4 linked regions of the Arabidopsis thaliana genome follow. The protein of the gene in region 4 interacts with the protein of the main gene of each other region in a biochemical or structural test. Each region holds a gene or a part of one and is shown on either strand. Other genes may lie near its edges.

What was found.
Region 1: of the proteins of MPK7 (region 4) and AT3G61790, one has a biochemical effect on the other in vitro, tested with the Arabidopsis thaliana proteins (one large-scale study listed by BioGRID).
Region 2: of the proteins of MPK7 (region 4) and Mik, one has a biochemical effect on the other in vitro, tested with the Arabidopsis thaliana proteins (one large-scale study listed by BioGRID).
Region 3: of the proteins of MPK7 (region 4) and AT2G31390, one has a biochemical effect on the other in vitro, tested with the Arabidopsis thaliana proteins (one large-scale study listed by BioGRID).

The regions. Positions count from the first base shown.
Region 1 is NC_003074.8:22,871,193-22,875,808, reverse strand, and holds AT3G61790 (Protein with RING/U-box and TRAF-like domain), read left to right. Parts: upstream 1-1,975; 5' UTR 1,976-2,265; coding exon 2,266-2,493; intron 2,494-2,776; coding exon 2,777-3,163; intron 3,164-3,469; coding exon 3,470-3,835; 3' UTR 3,836-4,112; downstream 4,113-4,616. Other genes in the region: AT3G61800 (ENTH/VHS protein), read left to right, coding at 1-1,086; emb1703 (embryo defective 1703), read left to right, coding at 4,347-4,616. UniProt on the Arabidopsis thaliana protein: E3 ubiquitin-protein ligase that mediates ubiquitination and subsequent proteasomal degradation of target proteins.
Region 2 is NC_003076.8:23,722,887-23,727,304, forward strand, and holds Mik (pfkB-like carbohydrate kinase family protein), read right to left. Parts: upstream 2,700-4,418; 5' UTR 2,439-2,699; coding exon 1,554-2,438; intron 918-1,553; coding exon 741-917; 3' UTR 518-740; downstream 1-517. Other genes in the region: AT5G58720 (smr (Small MutS Related) domain-containing protein), read right to left, coding at 1-88; AT5G58740 (HSP20-like chaperones superfamily protein), read right to left, coding at 3,050-3,136, 3,734-3,876, 4,181-4,229, 4,344-4,418. UniProt on the Arabidopsis thaliana protein: Kinase that phosphorylates myo-inositol to produce multiple myo-inositol monophosphates. Participates in phytic acid biosynthesis in developing seeds. Phytic acid is the primary storage form of phosphorus in cereal grains and other plant seeds.
Region 3 is NC_003071.7:13,382,907-13,388,117, forward strand, and holds AT2G31390 (pfkB-like carbohydrate kinase family protein), read right to left. Parts: upstream 3,487-5,211; 5' UTR 3,211-3,486; coding exon 2,812-3,210; exon of another isoform or gene 2,010-2,811; coding exon 1,677-2,009; exon of another isoform or gene 1,102-1,676; coding exon 985-1,101; intron 858-984; coding exon 729-857; 3' UTR 517-728; downstream 1-516. Other genes in the region: STH (salt tolerance homologue), read left to right, coding at 1-65, 157-396; GUN1 (s uncoupled 1), read right to left, coding at 4,295-4,592, 4,933-5,117.
Region 4 is NC_003071.7:7,907,258-7,911,781, forward strand, and holds MPK7 (MAP kinase 7), read right to left. Parts: upstream 2,784-4,524; 5' UTR 2,460-2,783; intron 2,125-2,459; 5' UTR 2,118-2,124; coding exon 1,695-2,117; intron 1,605-1,694; coding exon 921-1,604; 3' UTR 517-920; downstream 1-516. Other genes in the region: AT2G18180 (Sec14p-like phosphatidylinositol transfer family protein), read right to left, coding at 3,797-3,922, 4,014-4,414, 4,511-4,524. UniProt on the Arabidopsis thaliana protein: MKK3-MPK7 module acts as a positive regulator of PR1 gene expression.

The sequences.
Region 1 (4,616 bases), on a different chromosome or scaffold from region 4:
GATATCAGGAATAACATATTGGCAGCTAAAAAGAAATGGGAAGAAGCTGGTTTTACAATGTCAAGAATGACTGATATTCACGGTAATGAAGAAACAAACGAGGAAGAAGAAGATATCTGGGAGGAGGATGATGGCAAGGTTAAAACTGATTCAGTCAAGAACGTGGCTCATGTGATGAGAACTCAGCAGAGTGAGAATTCATCTTTACCATCATCAGGTGAAGCAAAGAAGTCTACATCAGAAGCTAGGTCCAATAAAGTGTCGAACACTAAAAAAGTTGGAAGCAGTGGAAACTCTCTTAGAGACAAGCTAATTTCTGAAGCGCCTGTGATGAATTGGGGATCACAGTTGACTAATTGGGAATCAACTACGGAAGTTCGAGCTAATTACCGGGGTTTAGAGATCGAGAGCCACTGGGGCAGGGTGGATCAAGATGCTATAATTCCAGCAGATAAAATAGCAGAATTGAATCTTCAGGCAACCGTGTATAGAGAAGAGAGAACAGAGACACCTCCATGCCGTGCTTCTCTAAAGAAAGGTGGTCTTTGCCAGAGAAGAGATCTCAGAGTCTGTCCGTTTCACGGACCCATTGTACCCCGGGATGATGAAGGAAACACCATAATCCAGGAATCTCCATTAGATGAGAGTGAAAACCAAACTTCTTCAACTTCAGGGACCAACCAGGATGTGTCTATGGATGAAACAACTTCAGATTCTGATCCTAATCAGTTAGCTAGGCAAATAGCGAAAGAGGCTCTGAAGAATATCCGGGAGAAAGACAAAGAAGTGGTGAGGAAAAGAGCAAAGCTTGTTAAGGTTAAGGTTAAGGAACACAATCATGAAGTTCTGCGTGGTGCGGCAATAGCCTCAACTTCTAGATCGAATGCTATGGATGATGAGTTTGATAGAGTTTTTGCTGAAAAGAAAAACAAGAAGCAAACCTTTTCCACAAGGCGTAAGAAAACAACGGCTAAAGATAGAATATCCCAGAGACTGTTTAGTAATCGAGTAAAAGGTACTAATCCACAGCAGTTGGCTCAGGGCAATGATGAAAAGTGCCGGGATACATCGGCTAACCAGTGGTAACAAATAACTAAAATCTTTCTAGTTTTGATCCAGTAGTGCCTTAAATTTGATTGTTTGATGCAAATAGGAGTAAAAAGCTAAAGAATATTTGATGAATGAATAATCAGATCCGCTTGTGATCTCTTGTAGCTGTGAAAACAGTTCTTAAGTCAAGTCCCAGATTCTTTGAAGCTTTATATTTTTCTCAGACAAAAGTCACAAAACCCAACAGAAAGATAATAGTACAATTGACATGTTCTGTTAAAAAGCAACGACAGATCATTGAAGCTGGATGGATCGTTGTTGTTCGCTTTTTTCTTTTTCTTTTATGTGGTGTGTTTAAGGATGATATCACTCATGAGACCGATCACTGATGAGAAGCAATTATTAATTGAATAATTTGCTTTTAAGATTGTGAGAGTTTGCTTGAGATGAAGAAGAGTAAAATGTTCATTTACATTATCATTGGTCTTTGAAGTGACTTTGAACCCAAGCCACATCCCATTACTTATTATTCCTCTTATGAATTTCATATTCTTAAACCGTCTAATTTTACCTAAATACATCTCTTAAAGTTTTTGTTAAAGTAAACAGAAAGATGAGCATGTTTTTCATGAATCTTTGAATTTAGCTGTCATTTTAGAAGTTGAAAATCATTTTTCTTGTACAAAGGAAAAGAAATTGTTTGAATTAAAAGTAAAAAAAGAACACACAATAATGATAGACAGAATCCCACTAGAGAGAAAAACATCTAGAATAAAAAAAAAGAAGCAATCATGTGCACCATGTACATATTTAGGCCCATCTCTACTGGATCATGGCCCTTTAATTAAAAACAAAGAAATCATTGAGTGAGAGAGGATATACTGTACGTATATTATTAGAATATGATTATTTTTCCCCTATCCAGTAAATTCTTCTGAATCTCTTATAATTCAATTTGTTTCCAAATAACATTCTCTCTTTAACACAGCCGCCTTTGTGACCGTCCGATCTTAAATCAGCGTTTCCGGTTCATTTGACGGCAACTATCTCTCTCTCTCTCTCTAGAGAATTGATGAAGAAGAGCATCTATCTTTTTTGTTTTTGAAAATTAACAACACTTCACGAGGGTTGACCTGTTTCGGTGGTGTTTCTTCAATTCCGGATTTTGATCTTTCGTTTCGATCGAAGATCAATCAAAGTCTCCACCTTTCTTCAATGGATTTGGATAGCATGGACTGTACATCAACCATGGATGTGACAGATGATGAAGAGATCCACCAAGATCGCCATTCCTACGCTTCTGTTTCCAAGCATCATCATACTAATAACAACACCACCAACGTTAATGCTGCTGCTTCTGGGCTTCTCCCTACCACCACCAGTGTTCATGAGCTTCTCGAATGTCCTGTCTGCACCAATTCTATGTACCCTCCCATTCATCAGGTCTTTCTTTTCAATCCCTTGTTCTCTGATTTCGTTTCCCCGGATCTTTAATTTGTTGATTTTGTTTAGGGTTTTGAGTTAATGATGTGAATCATGGATGTTGAAGCAGTGGTTGTGTTGCTCTTGTAACTTGAAATTTAGTTTTATCCATTCACTAATGGCTACAATTGAAACAATTGTCACTAAATTTTGTCAATAGCTTTGATAGTTTCTAAGATTCTTCTTATTGTTTCTTTAGAGAATTATGGAATAACAGATAGACAATTATTTGATTTCCCTACAGTGTCACAATGGACATACGTTGTGTTCAACCTGTAAAGCCAGGGTTCACAACCGCTGCCCAACTTGTAGACAAGAGCTCGGTGATATCCGTTGTTTGGCACTGGAAAAAGTAGCCGAATCACTTGAACTACCTTGTAAACACATGTCACTTGGATGTCCTGAAATCTTCCCTTATTACAGTAAGCTCAAACATGAGACTGTATGTAACTTCAGACCTTATAGCTGCCCTTATGCTGGATCCGAGTGTTCTGTTACGGGCGATATCCCTTTCTTAGTTGCTCATCTGAGGGATGATCATAAGGTGGATATGCATTCTGGGTGTACTTTCAACCATCGTTATGTCAAGTCTAATCCTCGTGAAGTCGAAAACGCCACATGGATGTTAACTGTAAGTACATATGAATCGTGCTTCATAGTATACACTTAGATAAGTTAGGAGGCTTTGTTTAAAGTAATAGGATTATATTTGTGATAAAATTTGATCTGTCTGGTATAAACTGTAATGTGATCAGCTGAGTCAAATTTTGCTTTTGTTGCGAGTTAGCTTTCCTAGAGAAGGTCCAGTTATTTATCTAATCTATGGTTGTGAATTGTGAATCTTCCATCTCGCTATACATGTTGACTTGATATACTTTAATGCTTATCAAGGTTTCCTCTGTTTTGGTTTTGTTTCTGGTTCAAAAATGAAAATCAGGTCTTTCACTGCTTCGGTCAATACTTCTGTCTTCACTTTGAGGCATTCCAGCTCGGAATGGCTCCAGTCTACATGGCGTTCCTGCGTTTCATGGGGGACGAGACAGAAGCTCGAAACTACAATTACAGTTTAGAAGTGGGAGGTTATGGTCGGAAGCTGATATGGGAAGGAACACCAAGAAGCGTAAGAGACAGCCACAGGAAAGTTAGAGACAGTCATGATGGACTAATTATACAAAGAAACATGGCTCTCTTCTTCTCAGGTGGAGATAGGAAAGAGCTGAAACTTCGAGTCACTGGAAGGATATGGAAAGAGCAACAACAAAGTGGTGAAGGTGGAGGAGCTTGTATCCCAAACTTGTCTTGAAAATTAAAAAAAAAAAATCAAACTGATTTTGAAAACCTCACCGATTTGGCCTTGTCTCTGTAACCATGGTTATCTGTAATTAGGGTTTTCTCTGACGATAAACTTGGGGTTGTTCTTATGTATCTCTCTCTGTCTTTCTCATGTCATGGAGGTTTTTTTATTATAAAATATATAGTTCATTACAATTCTGCTATATCTGGAGGAAAAACGTAAAATGTTGAACCTTTTACTTTTATCAACTGTAGTGTTCATAAATTTATGTAATGCTTGTGTTGTGTCCACGAAACGACGACGTTTCATCATTGTTCTGTTAAACCCAGCTTTTGGAACTTGGAAGTGATGAGCTTTATATCTGGAAAATGTAAAATGTTGAACCTTTTTTCAACTGTAGTGTTGTTCAAAGGCGTTAGCTTTGTTTAAGAAACGACGACGTTTCATCATTGTTCTGTTAAACCCAGCTTTTGGGGGTTTTCTCACTCGGAAGTGAGCTTTATCCCTTTGGTTTCCATCAATGGAGGTTCTACTAAACTCCAATGATGGTTTCTTCAATTTCTCGTCTTTCTCGTCCAATTCGAACAGGAGACTCGCTAACCAACGTCGATTCAACTTGCCCATCTCCAAATTCCACTACTATCGCGTTTCAATTCTCCGAGTCTCGGCTCGGTTCGGAGAGACCTCGAGGCGACGTAATTCGCTGAGGAAGAAGATCATCGGTGATGAGTATTGGCGTTCGACTCCGAAATCTTCTGAACCAGGTACGAAACCTCTAAACGAAAGCCAT
Region 2 (4,418 bases), on a different chromosome or scaffold from region 4:
TGTTCCCGTCCGACGTCGTTCCATCACCGGAAGGTTTCGCGGCGCAGGATCGCTTCTTCTTCTTCTTATGCTGGTTCTTCTGCTTCATTATCGTACAATTATAGATGAAATCGTGTCAACGCCGCTTCAATAGAATCTCTTCCGATCTGCAGAAGAAACTTAAACCCAGATTTCCGACGAGAAGCGTCGGAGAGAGGGAAGAGGCGTTTTAACCGTAAATCAGGAGTTAGTAATGGAGATGCCAATATCAGAGGAAATTTTTTGCTCGTCCAGACTTTTGATTGGGAATCGGAATCGCCACGTCAATCCACGCGCCTGATCGTGACCACGTTTTAAATCCACGCGCACGAATCAAACACCGAACACGGTTTCCTCCTGATTGTACATATATTGAACCGGTTCAACTATGCACCAGTCAAAATTAGATCTCCCACGTTGACTTTCGTAATTTTATCTCAGATTTGTTTTTGGTTTTTATATTAACTAGATAATGTGGCAACATGCGAATAGCAAATCATCTTATCCAAAACTTTTAAAACAAAATTTGACATCTTCATTTCGAATTTTGAAACGCGGAGTTGATAAACAAACTTTGCGGGAACGACCAGAAAGAGCGTTTGAAGACGCTGGTCAACGCGTTTTATACATTAAAATTTCCAAAATTCATCAACGTGTTGAAGCAAGCTTACACAACTCAGAAGAGCTTTGTTAGTAAAAAAAAGGTGATTCAAGATTCGTATTCACAGGGACCGATCATCACAAGAGTGACCATTGACCAATAACTTTGGTTGAAGTTGAGAGTCTACGCATGAAAACCGAGCTGGACTTAGACGCTCATGGAACTCGTTGTGATCGTTGTTATGGCTGCTAGATATGTTACACTGCTTCTTCCTTCTCTGTACCTCATCCTTGACTTTCTGCAAATCACAAAGACATATGTCACATAGAAATAACCGATGAAAGGGATGAATCCTTGTGCAGTGCAAACACAAACGCTATAAATCTTCTAATTTGCTTAATGTTCACTTGCACTAGCCAATGGTTCAATTATTATCCAATAACGCCCTCATTTCAACAGATACAACTACAAGAGATACACAGAAACACTCGCAAATACATCAAGAGATCCATACTTTTGAATTCTCTAATTGCTTAACCACATTGTTCGGTGAATGCTTAAACAACACTTTTTCCTGCATCTACCCTATGTTGAATGAAACTGCTCCTAGATTAACAATGAAGTAAAACAAGAAAAGACTCTCTCAGCAGCTGTGACTCGACAGAATCTCAAACAACAACTGTGAAGATTTGACACATTTTCAGATTGGAAACCTATCAACATCAAATACAGATTCTAGTTCACCCGCAAGATATAGGTTTGGCTGTATTGAAAGTAAGCTGCAAGATGTAACAGAGTTCTTTTGCTAGGATTATGTTAAAGACATTTGCATATCACTATCATCGGCTCTAAAAGTTCTTACTACTGTCTATTAGATTTGCAAATCTCTCACAGCATGCAATTCAGTAAGCTAATACGAGACCAAAAAACAAACCTGAAGCATCATCAAATCGAACTTTGGCTGACCAATATGCTCTACAGTGATGGAACCAAAGAGGTTCCCTAACAATGCAGCATCAGGAACAGTCAAACCTTCAACAAGCCCAACAATCAAACCTCCGAGAAAGCTGTCTCCGGCACCGGTAGGATCCACCTGCTTCGCCAAGAACGGAGGAACCGTCATTTCATCATCCTTATGATAAATCCTACACCCTTTTTCACCATTAGTCACCACCACACAACACAAGTGCTTCATTTGTTCAACATCCATGAAAAGAGCTTCGTCTGACGAAGCTTTCAAGAATCCAATTCGATGCAAGATGTGATAAAATCCACTTTCTTTCAAATCAACAAGCTTCACAGCTCCGTCAACAGGATCAAAAACCCTAATCAAAGCTTGAATATCCACAGCAACAACGTCACAGATCTCCACCATTTTCTCAAGCGTCTCCGGTAAAATCTCGCCGCCGACTCCAACGGCCATTCCGAAATCAAATCTCGAATCGGGTATATCCGAAGGAAGAATCGGATCACATGCAGAGACTCTTTTCAACACCCGATCAGCATGACCGATCCCATCGATTCCCAGATCGAAATACGCCTCGAAAACTGTTGTTTCCTTCTCCGGAGCCACGATCGGAGAGTGGGTGACCTCGTATCTGAAGTCGTGTCCTACTTTGGAGACCAAATCGCAGGAGACAGAGGAAGAATCTAAGACATTAGATATGAAAGAGGCGGCGCCGCCGAGAGTTTCAGCTACGACGGATCCGTTTTGGATTAAAACGTCGTGGCAATAATTTCCGACGATGAGAACGCGGCGATTGGGAATCCGACGCGGCGAGTGAGACGTTTGCTGCGACGGAGGAGGATTCAACGTCATGATCGCGGCTGGTGCAGAGGATCATCGAGAAAGTGAAGCAGAAGGAAGAAGAAGAATCATGGAATTAGTAAGACGAAGAAGCCGACCAACGAGAAGAAGAAGAAGAGACAAAACTAATGGCTATAAGCTAATACGTAACGTCTTGAGATTCGTTCCCTGCTCTCTGTCTTATGATATATGTGTCGCGAGGGAGATGACGCGCGCCTAATTTTCCTCCTTTTTTTTTTTGTAACCGAAATAAAATGATGTTAAATAATAAAATAGAGAATATGATCATTTTTCTCCAATTTTATTTTGTTCGAATTCCTTATTCTCCTCCACTTATCCAAGACAATTTCTTTTTGAAAAAGCTGTCACATACCAAAACAAGATTCGAAGCGCACGGCGGCTCAGTGGACTTTTAGTAGATGCTCCGATTCTGTTGTCGGGAAGAAAAGGACAACTAAACAGAGACGAAAGACGATTTATATGATTGCCATTACGAGTTATAGAAACAGAGAGTCAGGGGGTTTATTTATGAGACATGAGACATTTTGTTTAAGTCATGGTGACTTTTGAGTTTGTTATAATGGACATACTATTATAGCAACAAGAGTGGGACTATTATTTATTTAGTCAGAACGAATACCGCCCATGAAGCTCCTTGGATCTGGACAATTACCCGAGAACTGAGCTTGCGAGAAGTCGAATCCCGGGTTCTGCAAAAACCAACAGAGAAAGAACATGTAAAAGGAAAGTTGGTCGAAAGAGTAAAGAAAAGCATACTTGAGCTCAATACAAAGTAAATAGAAACTCATGCATACAAGCAGAAACAAAACCAATAAGACAAAGCCATTAAGGCATACATGAATCACACCCATGTGTGCAGTCTTGCCATGTTAATTTGCTCAATCCGGTTAGACTAAGGCTGAGCAATTTCATCCACCATAGCTTTACTATCACCAGCTCTATGCAGACTGTTTATTCATGAAACTGATAAAAATCCGGCTACACTATAGGTTTACTATCACCAGCTCTATGCAGACTGTTTATCCATGAACACAAAAGATTCACTACTTGAGAGAGACATAAGAAACAAAATAAGAGAGCTTGAACAAAGAAAACAATCATGGGACATGACTCATCCAAAACGATCATTTATGGCAAAGTAATCATACTTTGACATAGATTCATTCTACTCAGTAGTGGTGCCTAAGATTTGCTTTGGAGATCAATTAGAAGACCTAGAAAACAACATTTATTTTTTCAAAAGCAGAAACCATATGAAACCAAGAGGACTTTTACAGGTAGCTAACCTCTTCTTGAAACCTCTGGAGCATGAGCCGCTTCTGCTCAAGATCAGTGGCGTAAGGATCTAACTGACCCTGTCCCAGAATCGGTGATGCCCATGTTTGCCCTTTCTCCCTCTTCTGCAGGGTAATGTGCATTATATCATCCTCTGCCAAATCAAACATAACAATCCAGATTAGCAATCAGTGCCAGACTATGAACCTAAAAAAACTATGCCAGTAACTTACATACGCTGATAATATAACCCAAAATATACTGTACATTCCATCATCCCTCCATTAGTCTCAAATTTTCCACATTCCAAACTATATGTCCCACTATTTATACCAAACTCAGATCACATTTCCAGGTTCAGTTTATCCTCTCTAGCAATAGTGAACGGGTCTAAAAACAGAAACCTAACCATCAAAAACAAGCACCCAATACAGACACAAAAACAAAAAATGGAGTACCTAGAGTCCAGAACGAGCAATCAGTCTTCACAGGAGCACTAAGATCGTGCTGAAAATTGACAAAATTTAGACAATTGAATCGAGTTATATATACCACATCGAATAACTCAGATTTATGAGACAAACGGATCAAAAACATTGAAAGATAGCGAAAGAAACTGACATTGAGATAGGGAGGGTTGCCTTTGATGCCAACTTCGATATGTTTCGACTGGATTTTGCAGTGGAATGACTTTGG
Region 3 (5,211 bases), 5.5 Mb from region 4:
CTCCATCTCCTTTGTGGGCTACCGATGAATTCTTCAGCTACTCTGATCTTGACTGCAGTAATAAGGTGAGAACTGGTTTACCAAACTGATGAATACTCAAATATCCTGGTTTGTAACTTGTTTTGACAACTATATAAATCACTTGTTGTACATTAGGAGAAAGAGCAACTCGATCTCGGGGAGCTGGATTGGCTTGCAGAGATGGGTCTGTTTGGTGACCAGCCTGATCAAGAGGCTCTACCGGTAGCCGAAGTTCCCGAGCTTTCCTTTTCACATTTGGCTCATGCTCATTCCTACAACAGACCTATGAAGTCCAATGTACCCAACAAGAAGCAGAGGCTTGAGTACCGGTATGATGATGAAGAAGAGCACTTCCTAGTCCCCGACCTAGGCTAAACTATGGATGAATCTACTAAGCTTTATAATATATAGCACTTGATTCGCATAGTCTTCGGCTCTTCGCCTTGCTTTCTCCATGATCTGATATGTGTATCACTGTAAGTAGCAGGCTAAAACTTGGAAAAACCTTATCATTTTATTAGCAAGTGAAGCCTTAAATTGCAACATACGTCTTTTCTAAATCATTACATTTGAAGAAGAGAAACAAAAACAGAGCGGAATGCCGAATTTGTTTCTCTTCTCGATTCAACCATCCGAAAACAAGAATACAAAAAGAGAAGATAATCGCGGAAACAGATTACGTAATAGAAGCTTGAGTTGTTTTGTTTCTATTTCTTTTCGAGAAAGCTCCGAACTTCAGCATCTGAGGGAAGAGCTGGAATGGCTCCTTTTTTGGTCGTTGTGATTGCTCCACAAGCATTTGCGAATCTCAGCACTTTCCTCAATCTCTCTTCGTCCTGTTCAAATAAACCCAACAAGTCATTAGATATTGAAGTTAGAACCTATATATATATCTTGTAGCTAAGAAAGATTCATCCAATGAATGCACATTGATTAATTGGATGCTTCTTTCGAATATCATACCTCGAGAACGGATCGATCATCGACAATCTGGTTTAGAAGAGCACCGACAAAGGAATCTCCAGCTCCGGTTGTGTCCACAGCGTTCACATGGAAAGGGTCAACGGCTCCTTTGAAAGTCTACACAATTTGGTAAGAACATATAAGAAGAGAAACATATTTTTGTGGAAGGTCACAGAGTAACTGCCGTAAAGAAGTAAAAAAAATAGCATGTGATTCGGCAAATGAGAAAAGCAAAAGTAACTCCCCTTTCTTGACATTAACATTTGTCATGTTTGATTAAACCAAGAACCTTAGAGATCACGACTTTTGCTGTACCCCTTAATTGATTAGAATAGTATTAATCTTTTGGAGGGTCCACGGCTAATATTAAATTTCTTATTCATCAGTTGGTGAGATCTACCAAACCTACTAAAAAACCCACTAATAATTTAATCAAAGTTGAAGAATTGATTCCAGCAGCAGTATTCAAATACCTTGTGTATCTCGAGAATCCTATTTTAAAAAGATGTTAACATAAAAGCAATCCTGAAACTATATTCTATAACACACTAGTTTTGCCTTCTGGTATCACCTAATGGACACAACAAACAAAGCATAACCAAGAGACAACTATGCTGATGATACTGATAATAATGGTGATAATGATGAATGATGACGGTAAATGCATAAAAATATTCAAGTGTGTTTGTTACCTTGGTGTAATACCGACAGCCCTTTTCACCAAGAGTGACTAACAACAGCTTCAAGTTGGGATGCCACAAGGTCAACGCGGTCTCATCATCAATCTTGTTGCTTCCAGTTAGAAACTCAAGCTCAACATCGCTCACCTTGATGATCTCAGCTTTGTCCCAAATGCTCATGATCTGTGTTTTGGCTTCTTCTTTTGATGGCCACAGAGGCTCCCTGAGGTTTGGGTCATAGGAAAGAAGAGCTCCTGCTTCTTTCGCCACTTCCATGGCCTTCAAATGAGCTGACCTACACGGCTCCACTATCAAACTTATTGATCCATAGTGAAACACTTTCGCCTACACAAAAACACACCACATCATGGGACACAAAAACGTCAAAATAACAGAAAAAAACAAAACCAAGGTTGGTACCAAAAACAACTCACAAAATAACACAACTTAGATCATAAGGAATATAATTGTCAAGGGACCCAATTGTGGTTTATGTTTTGAATATTAACTACGACAAGGGTCAATCATTATCAAACTATACAAGAAAAGCAAAAGATCCTCGCCATGAAATTAGCTGTAAAGGTAAATGTACACAAAAATACTCAACCTGGCATCATTTCACACCATTGCTATAAAAAACCAAACTTTACACGTATATGTGCACATTTACTTTTAATCACATATTCACATCATAAACCTAAAAATACTCAAGACTTTAATATAGATCAATAAGAAGAACACATATTAAGCTCAGTAAAAAAACTACTCAAGGGAAACATGTCACTAGAATTGAGCTAAGATGGTGATGGTTAACTACACGGCCAAAAAGGTTATAGCCTTTTAATTTGAAGTTGTTTTGGGTAAAAACTGAAAGATGAAGAAATTGGAGAAATCACGTGGTATCACGTGGATCTAAATAAGACCCGCGAAAATAAAAAAGATCTAAGAGAAAAGTCACCGCCAGTGAGTGAGATCATCTTCTACGTTTTCTAAATTCAATAACGCGATTCCCAATAACTAACACTCCTAATCGAATTTCGTTTCTGCGTTTCCCAGAAAATTTAAACTAAAAATCCTCTAGATCTGGCTTTCTACAATCCCAAAATCGTAAAAATCTATAGCGAAGAGAGAGAGATTTAAAACGTACGGATCTGATGAGGTCGAGATTGAGTTCATCAGGACGAAGAAGCATATCGGCGCTAGGATTGCGGTAAAACATAAACTCACGATCTCCATCAGCACGTAACGTAACGAAAGCTAAAGCAGTTCTAGCTCCAGTATCGAAGTTAATCCCCTGATCATCAACACCGTTCTTCCTCAAAATCCCAGCCAACATATGACCGAACTCGTCGTCTCCAAGTTTTCCGACGAAAGCAGATCGTCCACCGAGACGAGAAACAGCGATTGCGACGTTAGCGGGAGCACCGCCTGGAGCTTTGAGGAATCCAGGAGCTTCGGCGAGAGAGACGCCTGATTCGGTAGGGACGAAATCGATTAGCATCTCGCCGAAGCTAACGATCAGTCCTTTATCACCGTTGGATGCCATTTAGATCAGAGATCTGTGAAATCGTTGGATCAAATCGGAGAATTGAGAAAAATATAGAGAGTAAGGAAGGACAAGGAGAAGAATACATAAAAATGAGAGGAAGGAGAAGAATGGTTTATATAGAGAACGATGGGACTGGTGTACAAAGGCTTGCTACTGATATATTATTAACGTATTTTATTATATAAGATACAAATATATCTCGTAAAAAAAACCATGAGTTTCTGTGGTTTTTTTAATAAAATGAAAAAATCTTTTAACGTTTTTCGACCTTTGCCTGAGTATTTGATTTGATCCGAAAAATAAAATAAAAAAATCGTGTATGAATATAGTAGTCAATAATATGTTGCGTAAAAAATAAACTTACTACAAATTTGGTGTCAGGTTAAGAGGATAATGACAAAACACCAACAAGATACTCTCACGTGTTATGGAAAATATTTATTCGAGTGTTTTACTTTTAACTGTATAGAAGAATTTACCATGAAATTTGTAGGTGATTGTTCTAGTGAGAAACGTAGTAGATGTGTGTGGATAGACAATTGCAACCATTAGGTCCATTACAGTGGAAGTTTAACTCGATTGTGGGTTTTGCCTTTTGGTAAGAAAGTAATGAAATAAATATGTGTCATCTAACATAGAAATAAAGTAAAGTCAAGAATGATATTTATTTTTTTACCGACGGGTGAAAAAATCACGTTAAATAAGTAACTGAAGCGTCACTGGGGTGTTGTTGACAAGTTGAACTATTTATAATCAAACTGGTTTACTTTCGAAAACCTGTGGATTCCTCTGTTTAGTTTCCATAAAACCAGCAACGGATCACGAAACGGCCAATGTCAATAGAGATTTTCTCTGTTTAATGTAAATAATCCTTTTTTGTTTCTAATAAATCTCGAGATTTGCTTTAAAATATTTATTCTTACATATCTTTAAGAAAAGAAAAAGACAAAACGATTTTCACATAATCAATCGAGTTGCTTTGTTACAAATATTAGCACAGAGCCAAACATTGTTAGGACCATTGGTCCTATACACTTTAATGATCAACACAAATTGTTTTACTTTTACATCATACACTAAGCTACAAAAGAAGAGGCTGTAAAGCAAACGACGTCTGTTTCCGTTGTTGTTGGTCTGTTGATTTCATTGTTGTAGTAGTAGCTGTGGCGGTTGTTATGTGGTCATGGAGGATTAAGAGTTTCAGTGTGGCTGATTCACGCAGCCAAGTTGCTACCACCGAACCGCTTGATGTGAACCGTCCCATGTTGCATTTTGACAGGTGGAATGGTGCATCCATTCCCCTCAAAAGAACTTCAACCGCTCGTCTTAGTGCTCCGTCTCCAACCACTTTGCTGTGTTTCCCCCAGCCAGTCAATATACTGCCACAATAAGAAAAAGTTATTAACAAGTTTTGAACTAACCCAGATAGTGATAAAAGTTGAGGGGATCACAAAAGATTTGCGAAACATGACCACATCACATAAGCAAAGTATCTACAGAGACACTATAATCATAGTGTATGACCAAAAACTTCAACCTATCACAAGAAAACATAGCATCATCAAGGACATGCTGCATATCAGATTTCGGAAAAGAAGAGATTGGACTTAATTCTCGGGCCCTGATGGAGTTTTAGGAAGCAACCATAAAAGGAAAAGAGCCGGGTATTATAGGCCGGTTTAAGTTGATAGTTAAACCGAAGAGCTCTTTGTAGCTTACCTCAAGACTTTAGGTAACTCATGACCTTCATAGACAATGGAGCGTATGTTTAGTAGCCACGCATGGACCATTGCACGTGCAGCTCCAGAAGACATGAGGTGTAAGTCCAAGCAAGAATCAGACCACACGTTTTCCCAAACTTGCCTAGATCTTCCCTCAAGTGCCACCAGTTCTGCACCTCGTTTCTATAGCAGAAGGTTCCCAAAAGTAAGCCTTTGTACTAATAGTAACGCATTAAAAAACGGTTACAAAATTTGGCCTCTACAATATCAGTGTTAT
Region 4 (4,524 bases):
TTCTCTTTTCTCTTCTCAACATAACTTAAACTTTTATTGTTCCTTAAAAGACCACGTCAGCATAATTCACTACACTTCTGTTTTCTTCACGCGCCTTAAACATGAATGAAAGAGTTGGGTGAAGGAGTGTGTGGTGAAAGAGTGTGTTGTCATTACACACACCTCATGTGTTACTCTCTGAATTCGGCAACTTATGGTGCTAGATATTTAATTTCTTTTCAGGAATTGGTTATTTAGCTAATTCACCTTTGAAATAAATACACTTATAAAATAAAGTATTTTTAAAACACACTAGTCTTCATATTGGAACTGAAAAAAATAGCACACTTCCTTAGATCATTATTTATAAGATTACTAATATATTCTGAAATTGTTTTGGTAGTACTAAAAAGAACGAAAAATATGAAGTGACACATTATCCAATCTTCCCTTATAATGAATTGAAAACATGTTTGGCGGCTTTTTAAAGGTAGGATAAAAACTAGAGAAAATAACATCTATACTTTTATTAGTTTATACTTTATAGTATGAGAGTATCTAAACTATAAAAAATTATTTCGTGTGGCTAGCAAGTGGGCAATGGCAAAGCTATACAAAATACAAGAGTTGGCCTGAAAATCAGTAGTAAAACTCATCAACTCAAAGATAATGTAACAAAAACAAGCCTTAACTTACTTAGTAACAAACAGTCACATTTACAAAGTGGTAAAGATACTGAGAGCCACTTTTCAAACTCTGTTACTACTACTCACTCACTGCAACTAAATCAAACCAGACGAGATCAAAGCACCGGGCTTTTTATCGATCTGTTCCCGCGTTTGTGGACTCGCTATATATAACATAACATCAAAGCTGCATTTTAGAAAGCAAAAAAAAAAAAAACTGGAAAAAGCTTACTCTTAATGATCATTGATGTTGATTTAGGCATTTGAGATTTCAGCTTCAGGGTGGTAATAAAGCATCTCATTCCACATCATCTCTCTTATCACTGGTTCCTCCATGTTTTCATCTATGTCCAGAGAGATTGGGACATGTGCAGGCGGATTGGATCCAGGATCAAACAACCCCGCCATATACGGGTGTAAGAGCGCATCGGTTACAGAGATTCTCTTGGTTGGATCAAACACAAGCATCCTCTGTAACAAATCTATAGCTAGAGGATTGGCTTGTGGATAAAGATTGGAGAGATGAGTTCCTCTTGAGTACGGAAGAGACTTTATAAACCTTCGAGCTTTCGGGTTGTCTATGAACCGAATATCAGATTCTTGTTGGCTACCAACAACGTTGATGATTAGCTTAAGCTGATTCAAGCATTCTGTTCCTGGAAAAATCGGTTTCCTACCAAGAATCTCCGCGAATATGCAACCAACCGACCATACATCAATGGAGGTTCCATAGTTATCACAACAAAGAAGAAGCTCAGGTGCTCTGTACCAACGTGTAACCACATACTCAGTCATGAACTGTTCATTACCTTGGCTCGTTCTCGCCAACCCGAAATCACAAATCTTGAGATCGCAGTTCGCATTAACTAAGAGGTTCCCGGGCTTCAAATCCCGGTGAAGTATGTTTGCAGAATGAAGATACTTCAACCCTCTAAGCAACTAAACACAACAACAAGAACAAGACTTATTTCAATAACTAAACATACAAAACTCGAAACATAGAGTTACCGAGGAAGGACTTAAAGTTACCTGAAACAAGAAGTACTTGCAGTGATCATCAGAAAGAGACTGAGAGGATTTAATAATCTGATGAAGATCAGTATCCATTAGCTCATAAACCAAATAAACATCCTTGAAACTGGATCTATTAGCAGGCAACATAACATCTTTAAGCGCGATCACATTCTCATGCCTCACATGCCTAAGAAGTTTAAGTTCCCTCAACGTTCTCAAAGCATCAACACGATTCTCAAACACATTGTGAATCTTTTTAATAGCAACTCTCTCATTAGTCTCACGATTGATAGAAGAACAAACCACACCATAAGCTCCTCTTCCAATGGGTTTAATCGGAACATACTTTGTATCGATTTCGAACAATGTTTGCCACATGGAGTAGTAATGTTTCCCTTGTTGCTTAATCCCATTTGGTGGCTCAACTAACATCGCCATTTTCTCTCTGCAAAAACCAAAACTTTCAGTATTTTTCCCCTAAATTGGTAAGATTTTGGAAAAGGGTTTATAGAGAATTTTCGATTTATGAATCATTGAAGCTTTTTTCTCCTTTACGTCTCCAAAAAGTGAAATTCAACTAAGAAAAATTCTCTTTTTAATATCGTTTCCTTTACTTAGCTATCAATCTTACTACTCCATAAGAAAAAAGCAAACTTTGGTTATAAAAATTCTCTTTTTAATATGATAACTCTTGATTAATCATAATCAAAACTCAAAAATTAAGAGTTAAAACAAGCTAAATGAATAAAGAGAAGAAACAGAACAAGAGATCGAACATACCCAATAACTGAATTTACAGAACCCGAGTCGTTGTTGTTGTTGTTAATGATCAGAGATGAAAGAAGAGAAGGGTATGATTGGATCTGAATTGAGATTGCTTCTTCATAGCTAAAACAAGAAGAGATAAGAGAGAGAAGAGTTAGGAAGTGGTGAGACCCATACGGGGAATGGAATGTTAGGGGAAGAGGAAGAAGAAGAAGAAGAAAGGAAGCAAAATACGTTGGTTGATGAAGAAGCTTTGGTTACTTCTTTTCGTTTTTTAGGAAAAAAACAAATTACAAAGTCTTCTAATTACGAAAACGACATTCTTTTTAGATTAGATATTTTTTGTGTAACAAAACTTCAGTTACAAACTATCTTTAATTAAAAAATCTCTAAAGTTTAATGGACTCTTCATGTTTTTTTTTTGCATACAAATCAGGATTGTTATTACTATATTTGGTAATTAGAAAAAAATAATGCATAGGAATTTTTGTAATTAATTAAAAAGATTGAGTAAGATATTTATTAAGTAGAATTTGTCTTGGTATAATATACGTACACGAATACAGAAATTGAGGATTTAAATGGATCAAGTAACCGGCTAAGCACGTGGGTGGACTGAAAAAGTGACACGTGGTAAACGTAGATTGGGAGCAACTTCTTGTTGTTGTCCGAACCGAAGTTTCCACTGGGTGTAGTTAAACCTAACTTAAAAGCCTCAAAAAGTGGTCAACTACAAAACCACTCTTGGTTTGAAGACCTTCTGTCTCTTTCGGAGAGGTTTGAGGATTAGATTAAAAAAAGGATAAGTGTGGCTGATGGATTTAACATCAGATGATGACATAACTAATTTGAGTGGCAAATGGTTGAGTAAACCTATCAGTTGACGAACGCAGATTATCAATCAACTTTGAGTTTCTCCATAGATCTTCGAAGATTCTGTCTCTCCAAACCATCAAGCCCCAATTCATCTTCAACCCTAGTAATTTAGTTTATATAAAGTGTACTTGAATTTTATACGTTGATGTTAAAAATGTTTGCACACTAATCTTTTGTACAAAACTACTTTACAAAATATATTTCTTATAAATTCATTGTTTTCTTTTGTACAAATCAAACATGATCTCGCATATGATGCGGATAAGTGGTAACATCTAAGGATGATATATATATACAGAGACATAACAAAATTCTTTCTTTGGAGATTCTCTTAATTTTAATGTGACTGTAAGATTTAAGTTAATGACATGAGTGCATTGGCCACCTCTAACTCCACTAGAGGCTTCTTCTTCCTCATGTTCCTCACTTACCAAGTGAACTGCACATGGAGATAAAAAGTAAAACAGAACACCATTTTAAACACCAAAACAAAAATTAGTTAAGTAGGCATTGATTTGAAAGCGGACCAGCTTCTTCTTCTTCTTCTTTCTCTCAACGTATGCCACAAGGTCCTCTTGTCGGGTAAGAGAATCATCAAGAGCCTGTGAAGATACAACAACTCTTTAGTGTGAGATAGTGAAAGCTGAGAACAAATCAGTAATATATATGAAAGTTTTTTTTGTTTTGTGTTACCTTCTTGGTTGCAGCAAGTTCTTGTTCCAAGAAATCGGCTCGGCTAATGGCAGCATTAAGCATCTCTTCCTTTTCAGGAGGCATAGTTGCTGGCTGTGCACTCAAGTTTGTGACTTTCTGCTCAAGCTCAGCCATTCGTTTCATGACCGCCATGAAATCTTCCCCTGAGATGGTTGTTGTTGCCATTTTCTTCCCATGCATCGAGCTCTTGTTCATCGAGTTTTCGTCGCAGTAAACCGGGCTAGAGTATATAGTTGACTCGGTTAGCTTCCTTGGAACGTTTTTAGTCACTCTAATCATGGTGACTACACCCATTACAAAAGCCATGACTCCAGTGAAAATAGGAGACCTTCCACTTTCATTTGTAGCTTTGCAAGCTTCTTGAATGGCGTAAACATCCCCTGTTCAAAAACAGAGAAGTACTTAAATTCAAGTTCTTTTAAAAAGGAGTAGTATTTGTCTCTTTAGTAGTGTAATTTGCACATGATCTCTTATACTTTTTGAGAGGGAA